Linked DNA regions of Schizosaccharomyces pombe. The gene in region 1 interacts genetically with each later gene. Each region holds a gene or a part of one and is shown on either strand. Other genes may lie near its edges.

Region 1 (8,478 bases):
CAACTTCGTAAATATTTGATTGATCCTCGCAAAAATAGCCCAATTCACTATCGCTAATGGCATGGGATTCGTCTTCAACATTAAAAGAGGCATCTAAAACATTATTCTGGTTTGTGTTTTGGTTAAGTTCTTATTCTTTGAAATCCTATTGAAATATTGCTTTATGAATCAACACTTACAGCCATGCCTTCAATATATCCATTGGTTTGCAATGAGTTTCTCGGTTGAGAAATTTTTATATTGTTGACGTTCTCTTTATCCTCCTCAGGAGAAGTTTGAAAAACAGTTGGCGAGGTTTCGAAGCTAAACATGTAGACAATGTGGTATGGCAGAGGGTTTGTTTGTTTGTTATGATCTAAATATTCTAAAGCACGGAAGCGCAGTGTGTCTCGTTCCACTGCGGTATTGCAATAGTCCAGTGTTAAGCTACATAGCTCGGTATTCAAATCGTGAATCGTCTTGTCTTGGTTTTTGATCTGTTGGTTAGCTAAATCAATAAGGGCAATTTCTTTCAACCTAAACTCTGCTCTTCCATTCTCCAGGTTCTTTTTTAAAGATTGATTTGTGTTTTCGAGTATTTGGATGTGCTTAGCCCGAACGTGAAGCGTGTTGTTAGCCGACTTTAATTGCTTTTGGGCAACGAGATTCTTCTCCTTGAGTGAATCTAGTTCTCCTCTAATTAAATCGTTTTTCCTGTTCAGAGCCTCTAACTCAAGACACTGATTATTTATAAATGCGTTGGATTCATCAATATTTGAGAAGTATTGAGGATATTGGTTTTTACAATTGTTTTCCTTTCCTACTAATTCAAGGCAATTATTACCTGCTCCTGTGTAGTGTGAATTTTCTTGATCGTTACCAGTAATCCGAGGCTGTGGTAATTGCTTACACTGAGTTAATTCACCCGCAGTGGCTTGAAAGGAAAGACTGTTGTTTCGGATGTATTCCTTGAGGTTTTCGTTTTCGTCCTTAATGATTTTGTTTAGTTTTTCAACTTTTACAAAATCTTCTTTAGCAGAAGTAGCCAAATGTCGTAATTCTTCTAATTCTCTGAGTAGGTGAGTTCTTTCACTCTGTAAAAAGAGGTTTTCCTTTCTTAACCTTTTACATTCTATTTGCACTTGGCTCATCTTTCCAATTAACGTAGTGATTTGTTTTATGTTAACATTGTGTATATCTTCGTCAGAAACGCAAACGTCTTTTGCTTCTTCAGTATTTCCAAAATCACCAATCTTCATTTCTTCTACGGTACGATTTTCGGATTTATTTAAATGTATCATACCAACCTTCAATAACTCTTCGTCATTTTGTATTCGGCTATAGTCATCCTCAAAGGCATACAACTCTTGTTCAAGCTGTTGAACAAAGTTTCTCATATCCATAACTTCATTGATTAAGCCTTTGTTTTCACTTTCAACCTTATAACAATCACTCTTAATAGTTTCAATTGTTCCACTAATATCATCTATTGCTTGCATAGCAGCAGTCCTTTCCTCTTTCAGCCTTAATATTTCGTGATCTTTGAAACTATCAGACTCCTTGAGATCATGAATTTCGCACGCTGATTTTTCGATCTTGGAGAGAAAACTTTTCCTTTCTTTATATAATCTTTTGTTCTCTTCTTTTATCTTCTCATAGTCGTCTTTAAAATTCTCGTTCTGAAGTTGCAGCATTTGTTTTTGAGTGAACAACTCAGAAAAATGACGCTTTGTTCGGTCAATCCTTGAAATTAATACATTGTTTTCTGAAGCCAACCGTGTTATTCGTAATTCATCTTCCATATTCTTTCTAAACGATTTATCCAGTTTTTTTTCAATGATTTCTAACTTTTGAATCAACGGGGCTACATATTCTTCTTGCGCTACAATTTGCATTCGCAAGCATTTTTCTTCATTTTTGAGAGTCCCGTTTTCCTTCAAGAGCTTTTCTATTTTTTCTTCTGCTACCTTTAAGACATATGACTTGCAGATAGAATTGCAATCCATACTAAACATTTCCTGGTTTTTCGTAATTATAAAATTTAAGAAATCCTGGAAGATATCTTCTAGGGAAACATTCCGTTGTTTAGTATCTTTGCAGTTCAAAACTTCTTCTATTTTCTGAGGTGTAAGAAGATCCCCGATCTCGTTGAGTCTCTTTCTTTCATATTCTTCGGACTTCTTAGATGTCAGCTCCTGAAATGATATTTCCATCAGAACGTTAGCCGGTATAGACATATTTCTTTTCTTTATATTATTTAAGAAATTCCTTTATTATTTCTGATATCTCATATACTAAGAGTTTAGAAGATTCGGTTATATGTTAACGTTCTGGGAGTTTATGCTTAATCGAGATTTTGTGTATTATGCGATTATGCTCTAAAAAAAATTCCAAATTATTCAACACAAGTAAATTAAAGCAAAATTTTCCTTGAGGGTAATATGTTAGAACTGTTTGGTAAGTGACAAATCCATTCGCTTATGCTCCTGTGATTTATAAACAAACACCTCAATATGTGCAGGTGTCAACAAACATTCGATTGTGTATGATCATACGCCAACAGGTATTTTAACCGTTAATAAACGTATTCGTTCACGCATAATTCGATTAATCGAAATATCAGTAAAATATTAAAAAAAAAACAATGAGAACCCCTCAGAAAGTTTAAGGTGTATTTTTTCCTACTGCCAAACACTTTACCGAGGATATTTATTTCGAGTAGAAAACAGAACAAAAATTAGCATGAAAAATAGTATTAAGTATTTCAGGTATCTTTGATTTGCTGTCTCAAGACAATTTTGTAAAAAAAATCCCCAAAACACTCTCGTTGGCAGGAGTCATTATGTCTAGTTTCGTTTCATTTGTTAAGATAAACTGCTATCTTTTAGAACTTTGGTTTTCAATATTAGGCGATTATCACTTTACAAAAGACAATTTTACAACCGAATTAGTTTACTGACTGAAATAATTTAGACTGTAAAAACGAGACTACGTTAACCAAATTTAATGAGTTTGACCGATGGTTCAATAGAGGTTTAGAAGAAATTTTGTACCAAAAACCAGATACACAATGGTTAATGGAACTAAGGGTGTATGTGTTTCAGGTATGGAATTGAGCAAGTTTATTAAGTACTAATTCTTTAGGAAAACCATGGTATGCTTTTTATCAGTATGAGAAAGCTTTTATTAAACAATTAGGAAAACTGAGAAAAAGGCGTACAACAGAAGTGGCCTTGCTGATGCTCAAAGAACTCCGTATGAAAAGCGTATGGAACAAAAGCGGAAGTTAGATGAGATTAAAGAGCGTGAAAAGGAATTGAAAAGAGAGAAAGAAGAACAGCGTGCTGTAAGTATTCTTTATCAGTAGTATCATATCCATTACTAATTATTCATAAGGCTCATGCCGAAAAAATCCGTACCCGTCGTCAAGCAAAAGCAGACCGTGAACGAATGGAATTGTTGCAAGCTAAACTTCACCAAAAGGTGATAGATCGTCGGCGACGCAGAGAGAAGCGTAACAAAATGTTGAAAGAGCGATGAATGGAATTCGGTTACATAATTGGAAAAATAATATTCTTTTGAAGTGGTATAACATTGATCACTTTTACAGTTTCAATCTTCAACTCGTAATAACATCATTGTATTAGAAAAATAATGATAGTAGTTAACGGAATAGTGGATACGCTTTGGTATTCGTTGCCCCGAGGATATACCGGGAGCTCAGCTCACAACATTTCTTCCAACATTGCTAGATAATATCGTTTTAGTAGGTTGTATATATATTCTGCAATTTTTTTGTGCATCGGAGTTATTTTTTTTTCACAAAATAAATCTAGTCGCACTCAAAAAATGGAAAAAGAAGATATTGAGAAGTTATTTCAAGAAGTAAAAAAGAGTTTACAATATTCATATTGTCCCTACTCCAACTTCGCAGTAGGTGCATGCGTAGTATCCGACGATAAAAATACATATATTTATGGAGCTAATGGTAAAAAGATTGTACCGAATTCAAAAAATATGAAATCTAACGTATCAAACAGTTGAAAACGCATCATATGGCAATTGCATCTGTGCCGAACGAGTAGCAATTACAAAAGCAGTGGTAAGATTAAGTTGCGCGTGAAGAGTTGCTACCGCTTTGACCATTATAACTCACATCAACCTTAAAAGAGCATGGGTTACACTAAATTTATGGCTATTGGAGTGATGAGTGCCAAGGGAAGAGTTACGCCCTGTGGTATTTGTCGTCAAGTGTAAGTTGACAGTTAAGGAAAAAGAAATCCTTCCGTTGAATTTACTAACAAAACGTTGTTAAGAATTCGTGAATTTTCGAAGGATATAAATGTTTATATGTTTCATGACGACGGGGGTTATGATATGAAAACGATAGAAGAGGTATGCAAGCGTTACTTGAATGTCATTAACATGATTGGCAGTTACTTCCTGACTCTTTTGGTCCAGATGATTTGAAATGAACGATTCAAGGACCCTTAATGAACTAAAGTAATTCAATATAAGCGTATTTCGTTCGAAGAAGATACTAATTTTACTCATAATTTTTGGACTTTATCAGTAAACATGTAATGGTAGTATCATCCACTTTCCTAATGTGCTTGTTAATATATTTTCACATATAAATTATTTTATCGTACCCTCCTTGAAACTTGAAACCAAAACTCTTTGCCGTTTTTGCGAATGGAGATTCCCATTTCGTATCCAACGAATTCAAAACTGCTTGCCTACAAATGCGCATAGCCAAATCATCAAGGCATTTCTGAACATTCGAAAGAGAGCTAAAATCAACGACGCCAGCGATGTCTAAGATCGACTTTTCCTCTATATTATCAAATATGCCATCGGTAGCTAAAATTACCAAGTCATTGTCTTTAAGGTCGTGCACAGTTGCTTGTCCCATTTTAGGCCCAATGTTTTCAGCGGAACGATAGTTCCTAGGATATATAGCCAATTGATATGGCATATTAAATTGGAGTACTTGGGCAGGTGATGCATAATGGATAGCACCATTTCTAAGGATAAGAAATCCTGAGTCACCAAGGCTTGAAATAAAGTTAGTAAGAATTTATGAACCAATGAACAAATAACGTACTTTAATGAATGAAGTTTACCGTTTCCGCAATTGAACAATGTAAGGCAAGCAGTGCTTGAGCCAGCCTCAACAGTGTTACTTTTCTTCAAAGCTGCATATGCTTTGGAAAGTAAAGTGAGAGGACTTGGTTGGAATTCGTCAGAATTGTTAAAGACTTTTTTTATTTCCCGAACCAATCCCCAACTAAATATTGACGGATCAATCCCCACATTCGCCCAGCCTCCAACTCCGTCAAATACTGCATTTAAGATATAGTTTTCATTCCTTAAATTTATAAAAGCGTCTTCTCCGGCATCCGGGTGATCGAGCGTAGCAGGAGATGGGAAATGAGATTTCTTTTTTTGAAAGCTCGTAGAGGAATATGCAGCATATTTGTGCACATATCGGGCGAACTGTTTTGTTCCAGCGACACGAAAGTAAAGACGAGTAACATTCATTGAGGGATCATAGAAATTGTTTTAATCACCCTGTCTAAGAAGTTATAACAATTGCTTTCTGTTCAACACTTTATAAAGTGTGTATGAACACGACTTACAAAAACAGATATCAGACTCAAAGTAAGAGAATTGTATGATATGTTAGTTTTGTATACCCATCTAATTATATAAATAAACGGTGGGGATATGATTGATGAGTTTGTAGTAAGTGCCTGTACTATTATTGAACTTCCAAGAGTCCTTATATATTTACCAAACTATCATGTAATGCGGTATAATAGTGAGCGAGGAGCATCTTGATAAATCATAACTTAGGAGCAGTTTAATTAATATTTCACGATATAAATGTTTGAGATTAACAAAAAAAAATACTGACTGTTGCTTCAATGCACTTGCACAATTGTTTACTAACACTCTGGAAGAACTAAGCGTCTTGTCCTCGAGATTTAGCTAGCTAATTTTTATCGGAAAAGTTTGGAGGCACAAAGCAATAGTAAAAATATATTTTATACGTAGTTCTTGGGTTTTCACCGAGTAGTACTAAAACTGCTTTTCTTAACGAGCTGAATGATGATGGTATTGAAGCAGTTTGTGTCATTAAACCGAGATGTGGGTTAAGCCAATAATGTAAGTTAAAGTTAAAGACACGGAAATAGAAGAGTATTGATTAGATTTCGCTTATGGAGTTGACGAATAAGAAGGGCGGTATTTCAAACTTCCGCACTTAACGATGCTGTACTTCCTTAAGAGATGCCCAATTACCAAAGCTTCTCCTTCCACCACATCCAACACATATAATGCTCAGATTTCGAAAAGTCGCTCCAAGTCTAAAAAATGGAGGGAATCTGAAGCTATTTTCTACTTCTTCAACTTTAAAAAAAATAGCTTCAAGCCAGGTATGTTTTTTTTTAGTGACTCGTCTTATTTTTGGAAGCGGTGCAAATTTTATGATTTTTAAGCAACCCTTCTTTGTTTCTCTACTCTATGAACAGTTTTCTAAACAATCTAACAATGTAGCCTTTAAGAGCAAAGCAAGTTTCAACATCAGAATCCGTTAAATATCCAGTCATTGACCATACATACGATGCTATCGTTGTAGGTGCCGGAGGTGCCGGTCTTCGTGCTACTTTTGGTTTGGCAGAAGCCGGCTTTAATACTGCATGTATTACTAAGCTCTTTCCTACGAGGTCCCATACTGTCGCTGCCCAAGGTGGTATCAACGCTGCACTCGGTAATATGACAAAAGATGACTGGCGCTGGCATTTCTATGACACTGTCAAAGGATCAGATTGGTTGGGTGATCAAGATGCTATTCATTACATGACTAAAGAAGCACCCAAAGCAGTTTTGGAGTTGGAACATTTTGGTGTACCTTTTTCAAGAACGAAGGAGGGAAAGATTTATCAACGTGCTTTTGGCGGTCAATCCCTTGAATATGGTAAAGGTGGACAGGCATATCGCTGTGCTGCTGTTGCCGATCGTACTGGACATTCTATCTTGCACACTCTTTACGGGCAATCTCTTAAACATAACACAAACTTTTTTATTGAGTATTTTGCAATGGATTTAATCATGGAAGGTGGTGAATGTCGTGGTGTCATTGCTATGAATTTGGAAGACGGTAGTATTCACAGATTCCGTGCTCACAAGACTATTTTGGCTACTGGTGGTTATGGACGTGCCTATTTCTCTTGCACCTCAGCTCATACCTGTACTGGTGATGGTAATGCCATGGTTTCTCGTGCTGGACTTCCTCTACAAGATCTCGAGTTTGTTCAATTTCACCCTACTGGTATCTATGGTGCTGGTTGTTTAATTACTGAAGGTTGCCGTGGTGAAGGTGGTTATCTTTTGAACAGCAAGGGTGAGCGTTTTATGGAACGCTATGCTCCTACCGCTAAGGATTTGGCTTCTCGTGATGTCGTTTCTCGTGCTATGACTGTTGAAATTCGTGAAGGCCGTGGTGTTGGCCCTGAAAAGGATCATTGTTATTTGCAGCTTTCTCACCTCCCCGCTGAAATTTTGAAAGAGCGTCTTCCTGGCATTTCCGAAACTGCTGCTATCTTTGCTGGTGTAGATGTTACTAAAGAGCCTATCCCCGTTTTACCTACAGTTCACTACAATATGGGTGGTATTCCTACCCGTTTCACCGGTGAAGTCCTCACTATTGACGAAAATGGGAAGGATAAGATTGTTCCTGGATTGTATGCTGCTGGTGAAGCTGCTTGTGTATCTGTCCATGGAGGTAACCGTCTTGGTGCCAACTCTCTTCTGGACATTGTTGTTTTTGGACGTGCCTGTGCTTTACATATTAAGGATACGCTTGAACCCAATACCCCTCATAAACCGCTTGCAGCTGATGCCGGATTGGATTCTCTAAAATTTTTGGACCAAATTCGCACTTCGCAAGGCCCTAAACATACCAGTGAAATTCGTTTGGATATGCAAAAGACGATGCAACGTGATGTCTCAGTTTTCCGTATGGAAGAAACTCTTCAAGAAGGTGTTAAGAACATTGCTCGTGTTGACGGCACTTACAAGGATATTGGAATCAGGGACCGTGGTTTAATCTGGAACACCGATCTTGTTGAAGCCCTTGAATTACGTAACCTTTTAACTTGTGCTGTGCAAACTGCTAATGCAGCTCTCAACCGCAAAGAATCTCGCGGTGCCCATGCTCGTGAAGACTATCCTGAGCGTGATGACAAGAATTGGATCAAGCATACATTGACTTGGCAACACAAAACAGGCGACCCTGTCACCTTGAAGTATCGCGCTGTCACCAGAACCACTATGGATGAGAATGAAGTTAAACCAGTGCCTCCTTTCAAACGTGTTTATTAGTGAGCTTCGTTCATTTCTTAAGTTTAAGATTTGCTATTTGATAATAACATTAAATTGATTTCATGAAATAAGTGACCAGAATTTAATTAACATCTTTATTTAATCAATATG
Region 2 (6,207 bases), 1.4 Mb from region 1:
GTTTCAGTTATTATCATACAACAAGTTTTTCCACAATGGCTTTAGTTCCTTGGAGTTGGGCTCCCTCAAAACTCAGCATCGACTCTTCTCTCTAATATATATAAGTTAGCTGCCCAGATAAATACACGTAGGATTAATTTCATAATTAGAAGTCGCATACGTATAGTGAAGAAAGTTGAGAACGATCGGAATCGAAAGTTTGGTAGTAAAATTGAGTGAACTGGGTCGCCAAAGCATTATAGTCTGCAGAGTATTAGCAATAAATCATACAAATTTTTATCTTACCAGCCATAATGAAAGATGGTGGTAAAAGGTAGACCTATTATTTCAAGTTCGAAAAATCGCGTCAAAAAAGATCGTACAGACACCTTAAGTAATTTAACGTAAAATGATACAACTCTTAATATGTAAAATAACATGATAAACTTATAGTTGTGTTATTTGGCAAAAGTCCTCTATTCGAATAGTATTGGCAATGGTAGAAAAACGAATTTGCAATAAGATTTGAAGGGGTTTTACTTCATGCAAACAACAGGATAGATGTTTATCCGTTCCTATTGAGACAAAATTTATGAGAAAAAATATGGTGCTAGCGTCTAACTAGTATCATGAACGAAATGGAACATAATATTTACTTGATTGTGAAGATTGCTTATTAAATGCTACATTCTTTTTTATAACGATGTATTTCACATTTTGCATAATTAATGCACCTTCAATCATAATTAAAAGAAAGCAACAAGTATTTGAGTTGGGATAAAAATGTAAAACTTAATCTATTAAATGTTCACATAATAAAATATGAAGATGACTACAAAATAGAACGTAACAAATAATAAAGGATAGAAGGAAACAAAAGCAAAACACCCACAGTTTGCTTTAATTCCTGGGTAAACTAGAAAACACGGAGCGAAGCCTTTGAGAGACAAAATAACTATAACGAAAGGGGAACATAATACATAATAAGTTATCTTCTATTGTGGATAATAGGAGACAAATTTTTTGATTGGAGCAAGCTTATCAAGCTTCGAACGTCTCGCCGAACACAGTATCTGCGACGGGATCGTTAGCATCCACCGTACGTGGATTCCCATGTGAATTTATTGAATTAACCGATGAATGGGTTGTTGTGCGACACGCATGTAAATTATCTGTCTCTTCGTTTTCTTGTAGTCCCAGGTTCTGAAACTGTTCATCAATGGACTTATTGACACTATAAAGTTTAAGGTTAGTTGATGGTCAAATATTTAAAAATAAACTTACAAAGTGAAACCACGAAATCTGTCCTGAATCGTGTTGGATAGAGGTGTCGAGGCATTAGCGGGATCAACATTGGAAACTATATTGATATTTTTCACATTAGTATTGGTAAACTCTTTATCAAAATTGGAAACATCCAGATCATTTTGAACATTCGGTTTAAAAGGCGGCTGAACCTTCTTCTTGCTAAGTAGGTCCCAATTTATGTCTGCAAAAAAAGGATGCTCTTTTAATTCAGTAGTGTCAGCAACTGCTCCTAAACGATGATTTGGATTGCGATTTAAAAGGCCTCGAACAAAGCTTCGACCCTCTGATGAAAGAACTCCTTTTGGAAAACGGACCTTTCCAAAGGCAATATTACGATACATTTGTTGGACGTCTGGAGCATAAAAGGGGCTCCATCCGCAGCACATCTCAAAGACAAGGACTCCTAAAGACCAGAAATCGACCTGTTTAGTATACCCCTTGTCCTCAAGTAAAACTTCAGGTGCCAAATATTCGGTGGTTCCACAAAAGGTATTAGTAGTTGCGTTAGCTGAAAGGTTTGCCTTAGACAAACCAAAATCGCAAAGAGCAATATGACCATCTGCATCTAATAGTATGTTTTCAGGCTTTAAATCTCGGTAAATAATATCATGTTTATGCAAATGTTCAAGAGCCAAAACAAGTTCGGCTATATAAAATTTAGCTCTTTGCTCAGGAAAGCGACCTTCATGTTGAAGATGCCAGAAAAGTTCGCCTCCACTCATATAATCAGTTATCAAATAAAGATCTGAAGCGGTCTGAAAGGAAAACTTTAAACCAACAATAAACGGAGATTCGTCTAATGAAGTCCTGACAAGTATATTCCTTTCGCCCAAGGTATGTGTAACCTCTTTTTTACGAACAATTAATTTTTTGGATATCTTTTTCATAGCATAAATCCGATTGGTATCGTTTTTACGGACCAAATAAACTTGCCCAAAAGTGCCTAAATAAAGTTAGTATACCGTAAATTTTTTAGCTTAAAGCAGCTTTACCTTTTCCGATTAAACGAAGGGCCGTAAAATCTTCTGGCCCATAACGAACATGTTCAATGTGCTCGTAAATTGTTTCCACTTTTATTTCACCCTCCAGAGACTTAGTTAAGTCAAGAGGCTCAAGCTTATACCATGCTTCCTGCACATATTCATGTAGGAAAATTGGTGTAATTTTAACGGAGCCCAAAAATTTATCGTCTTCATATTTGTCATATACAGATACAACCATTTGACTTTTCATTTTTGTCACATCAAATACAGTTTCAAAATCCCAATGAGGACAACGCACATCAGCCAACATTAGCTCAGAATGTAGTCCAGAAGAAGAACCGGAAGCAGATCCAGCAAGAGGACGGTTTTTAGAAGGAATGGAAATGGGTATCCCACCGTCAATGTCTTTAAAAGGAGGAGGTACCATAACCTGCGTTTTTTCAAAGGTGATTACTGCATAAGGTTGTGCATTAACACTTTTGACGTTCAAATCTCTACCTTGATGTAATCGAACATAAAGCCGTCCAAAAGCATGCTGACCATTTTTATCTTTTGGCACAACGGTATCATGCCTAATGTAACACGAAGATGGAGGTGTACGACTCTGTAGTAGTTTGGGTTTTTCTGAATATGTACCCATTGGTGTAATTCCATTGCTTTCGGAACTATTAGAACCAGATTCTTTATCTTCCTTTAAGGACTATGATAGGTTAGCCAAGTGAACAACAATTTATGGAGACAGTGATTTTTGAAAAACACAATAAAGAAAGCTATGGGGAAGATTGTCTTTCAAGCAAAAAATCAATTATAACATACCTGTTCTTTGTGAAGCTGAGCTGTAATCTCATTGTAACGCATCTTCATCCGATCCGACATGAAAACGGGATCATAGCCATTAGACGAAGCACCCTCTTTCCCTTCGTAATCGTTTACTTTCGTAGAATGGTCATTGGAAAGAACCGGTTGCGTTGAATGCGATTGTATTGTGGATGGCGATGCTTGATTTGTATTCTCAGAATTTGATGATCGATGCAATTTACCGAAAATTTCGGTCATTTTCAGCAAAAGCAATGATCAATCAAGAATCTTTTAATACTCTTTTAATGGAATCGGATTCCTCGTCTGGTGTTACTAATAATAGGGTGTGGTGTTTAAAGTTGGTTCGACCAGCAGGTGTTTCGCATATGTAACCTTCGCAATTCCCTTAATCGAAAAGTGTGGTAACATCCGGGAGTACGATATCTTAGCGAACGGATAGAAAATCCAGTATTTTTCGAACACTAATTCGTATTTTACTATGATTATATAGATGTATAATTTTAAATGGTTATAATATCAGAGGGGCGCCGCACTTCCATTTATCTATTTCTTAAGGGATTCAGGTAAGGGGGATGTATAACCCTAAACATTTGAAAAATTCCTTTGCAGTGTATTTTATTATTATGCACTTATTCTAAAAGCAGAAAAAGAAATTTATCGAGCAATTAATACGCTGTTGACTCAGAAATGTCTTGTGATTTTCAAAGGTTTGTCCAACGAAGGAGTATCGAAACAGAGTTCTCCGAATGGCTTAGTAGAAACTTCATGTATATTTATTTTAGCCTACATATACAAAAGAAATTAAAGCACATTACAACGTAATTTCGGAGAGCTCAAGCTATGAGATTTTCGACTGTTTAGTTTCGAGGAATACCTAGATAGTACCGAAAAATGCTACACTCTTTTTTTATAAACATTTATCAAATAATTTTTAATGCGTTGGCTGATGCCTTAACCAAAGGTCATACTAAATTTACCAGAAAAGTTTCTTTTTCTTTAATAAATCAATTGTAGTGTTTGAATGAATGAGCTTTAGTAGGATGTCCACTGGTCAATTAAAATTGTAACTTACTGACATACATTAGCAAATTTGGGCACAATTTCTAATTGTTATTTGCTTCTCATGGTTTCTGATATGCGTTTGATGCAAAATACTCGGGATTTTTGTATTTCGGCTGATTTAATTTTAATTTTAATTTTTTTTTATTTAAGTCTCTCTATACTCATTACTGTGGTCAATTATATTCCTTGAGTTTATTAAATCTTTTATTTACAGAGTACAATTAATTAAAATGGAGCCAAAAAAATAACCCTTGTTAAAAATTTTTTTAAACTGTTAATTCCCTCCCCAAAAAAAAGATTTAAAAGGAAAATGATTAAAAAAAACGAGAAATAAAATTTCATGTAAAAAGATAACTTTGTATAGTAATTTATATAATAAGAGCTAGTTTGTCATAGTTCACTGCTATTGTTTATTATTATTTTTTTTCATAGCACAGTATTTCAAATTAAATATCGTAAAAGACCATCAGAAATTACAAACAAAATAAGAAAATCATCGGTTAAATTAATGACATTCAAAGTACCACTTTTCGTTCCTCTGACAAACGTTGCTACGCAACCTTGATTAGCCGTACTAGCAAACCCATCTTAGTACTTTGTGGGGGCTTTCATTTTAATAACCACTGCTAAGCTGCTAGTGTTAGGCATAAAACCGATAATAAGGACCATGTGGGGGTCTTCCGCATAGGTTAAACAAACAGCTGCTGAGGCGAGGTTCAGGTTATCGTGGTGCTTTTCTACGTTAATTTATCAATACAAAATAGTTTAATTTCCAAAACAAAAGTCAAGAGATATCAGCTACAATTACATTAATGATATGCATCATCCAAAGTCAGTGTACAAACAATAGATTTACGCCCGACAAATAAACCGGTATATTTTAGAAGTTCATCATTTTGTATACAATCAGTTACTTCCAAAAAATTATTGATTAAATAAGTGTTTATAAAAGATTTTTCATAATTTCGTAGTACGGTCATTATTCTCAATTTCACGTGTTTTTTTCTTTTTTTACTTCTAGGCCCATAACATTATTATTAACTATACTAGTATAAAAAATTTCTCGCTCAAATTATGTTCACAGCATGTAAATGAGATATGTTAAAATAGAAAATTCAGCTTTCAAAAAAATAATGTCTATTGCCATCTTTATTGTCATGTTGGCGGAAATGAACTTTGCATATTGGTGTTCTTGAGAGTGTACAATTTTTTTTAACTACCAACCACAAAGAATGGGAGGCATTGGTAAAAAACGGGTATGTTGAGAATGGATAGTTTAAAAGAAATACTTTATTTAAACTAATTTAATTATAGGTAAAAAAGAGGACGCATTTGAAAGCTGATCCTATACAAGAAGCAGCAATTCCTAAATCGGTATGTGCAATTTTGTAAAATTGTAAAATTTTTTAGTCCCTTTGCTAATTCTTATTTAAGATGGTAATTCGATCGGGCGCTTCTGAAGTAGGTAGAAGCTTATCTTTGCTTACTCGAGATCTTCGACATATGATGGAACCACATACAGCTATTCGATTAAAGGAGCGTAAAGCTAATAAAATAAAAGATTACTTGACTATGGCTGGACCTCTTGGAGTTACACATCTTCTTGTCCTCTCTCGCACTGACAACAATGCGAACTTGAGAATCATTAGGGCTCCTAGAGGTCCCTCATTACATTTTAGGATTCATGAGTATATGCTGAACAAAGATGTTCGAAGACTTCAAAAAAATCCTAAATCTCCAACAACAGAGTTCCTTACTCCTCCACTTTTGGTCATGAATCATTTTAATCAAAATTCGTCAAAAGACTCTCCCCATGAAGCTTTGCTAACGACTACATTTCAAAATATGTTTCCTCCAATTTCAGTCCAACATACCAACATTAATAGTGTTAAACGGGTTCTGTTATTAAACCGCCGCGACGATGGTTATATCGACCTTCGTCATTTCATAATTAGCACGAAGCCTGTGGGTATTTCTCGCCCTATAAGACATCTGTTGAAAGGTGAAAAAAAGGACTCTGATATCCCTGATTTACACAATGTTCGTGATATTTCGG

What was found.
Region 2: mutations in azr1 (region 1) and sck1 together harm fitness more than expected from each alone (negative genetic interaction), as found in Schizosaccharomyces pombe (one large-scale study listed by BioGRID).

Annotation. Positions count from the first base shown.
Region 1 is NC_003424.3:3,796,289-3,804,766, reverse strand, and holds azr1 (mitochondrial protein phosphatase Azr1), read right to left. Parts: upstream 5,738-8,478; 5' UTR 5,524-5,737; coding exon 5,087-5,523; exon of another isoform or gene 5,037-5,086; coding exon 4,632-5,036; exon of another isoform or gene 4,584-4,631; coding exon 4,526-4,583; 3' UTR 4,455-4,525; coding exon of another isoform or gene 4,416-4,454; 3' UTR 4,375-4,415; coding exon of another isoform or gene 4,296-4,374; 3' UTR 4,233-4,295; coding exon of another isoform or gene 4,150-4,232; 3' UTR 4,082-4,149; coding exon of another isoform or gene 4,020-4,081; 3' UTR 3,968-4,019; coding exon of another isoform or gene 3,829-3,967; 3' UTR 3,520-3,828; coding exon of another isoform or gene 3,376-3,519; 3' UTR 3,326-3,375; coding exon of another isoform or gene 3,178-3,325; 3' UTR 3,134-3,177; coding exon of another isoform or gene 3,124-3,133; 3' UTR 3,084-3,123; downstream 1-3,083. Other genes in the region: meu1 (protein meu1-1), read right to left, coding at 1-106, 180-2,216; CGR1 family ribosome biogenesis protein, read left to right, coding at 3,050-3,083, 3,124-3,133, 3,178-3,325, 3,376-3,519; cdd1 (cytidine deaminase Ccd1), read left to right, coding at 3,829-3,967, 4,020-4,081, 4,150-4,232, 4,296-4,374, 4,416-4,454; succinate dehydrogenase Sdh1, read left to right, coding at 6,321-6,419, 6,541-8,367. UniProt on the Schizosaccharomyces pombe protein: Confers azacytidine resistance in high copy.
Region 2 is NC_003424.3:2,401,281-2,407,487, forward strand, and holds sck1 (serine/threonine protein kinase S6K family Sck1), read right to left. Parts: upstream 3,424-6,207; 5' UTR 3,327-3,423; coding exon 3,087-3,326; exon of another isoform or gene 2,971-3,086; coding exon 2,280-2,970; intron 2,231-2,279; coding exon 1,264-2,230; exon of another isoform or gene 1,214-1,263; coding exon 1,021-1,213; 3' UTR 736-1,020; downstream 1-735. Other genes in the region: nuclear import protein Nxt2, read right to left, coding at 20-91, 161-243, 286-292; SPOM_SPAC1B9.03C (ribosome biogenesis protein), read left to right, coding at 5,384-5,407, 5,466-5,525, 5,586-6,207. UniProt on the Schizosaccharomyces pombe protein: Protein kinase that is part of growth control pathway which is at least partially redundant with the cAMP pathway. Required for trehalase activation.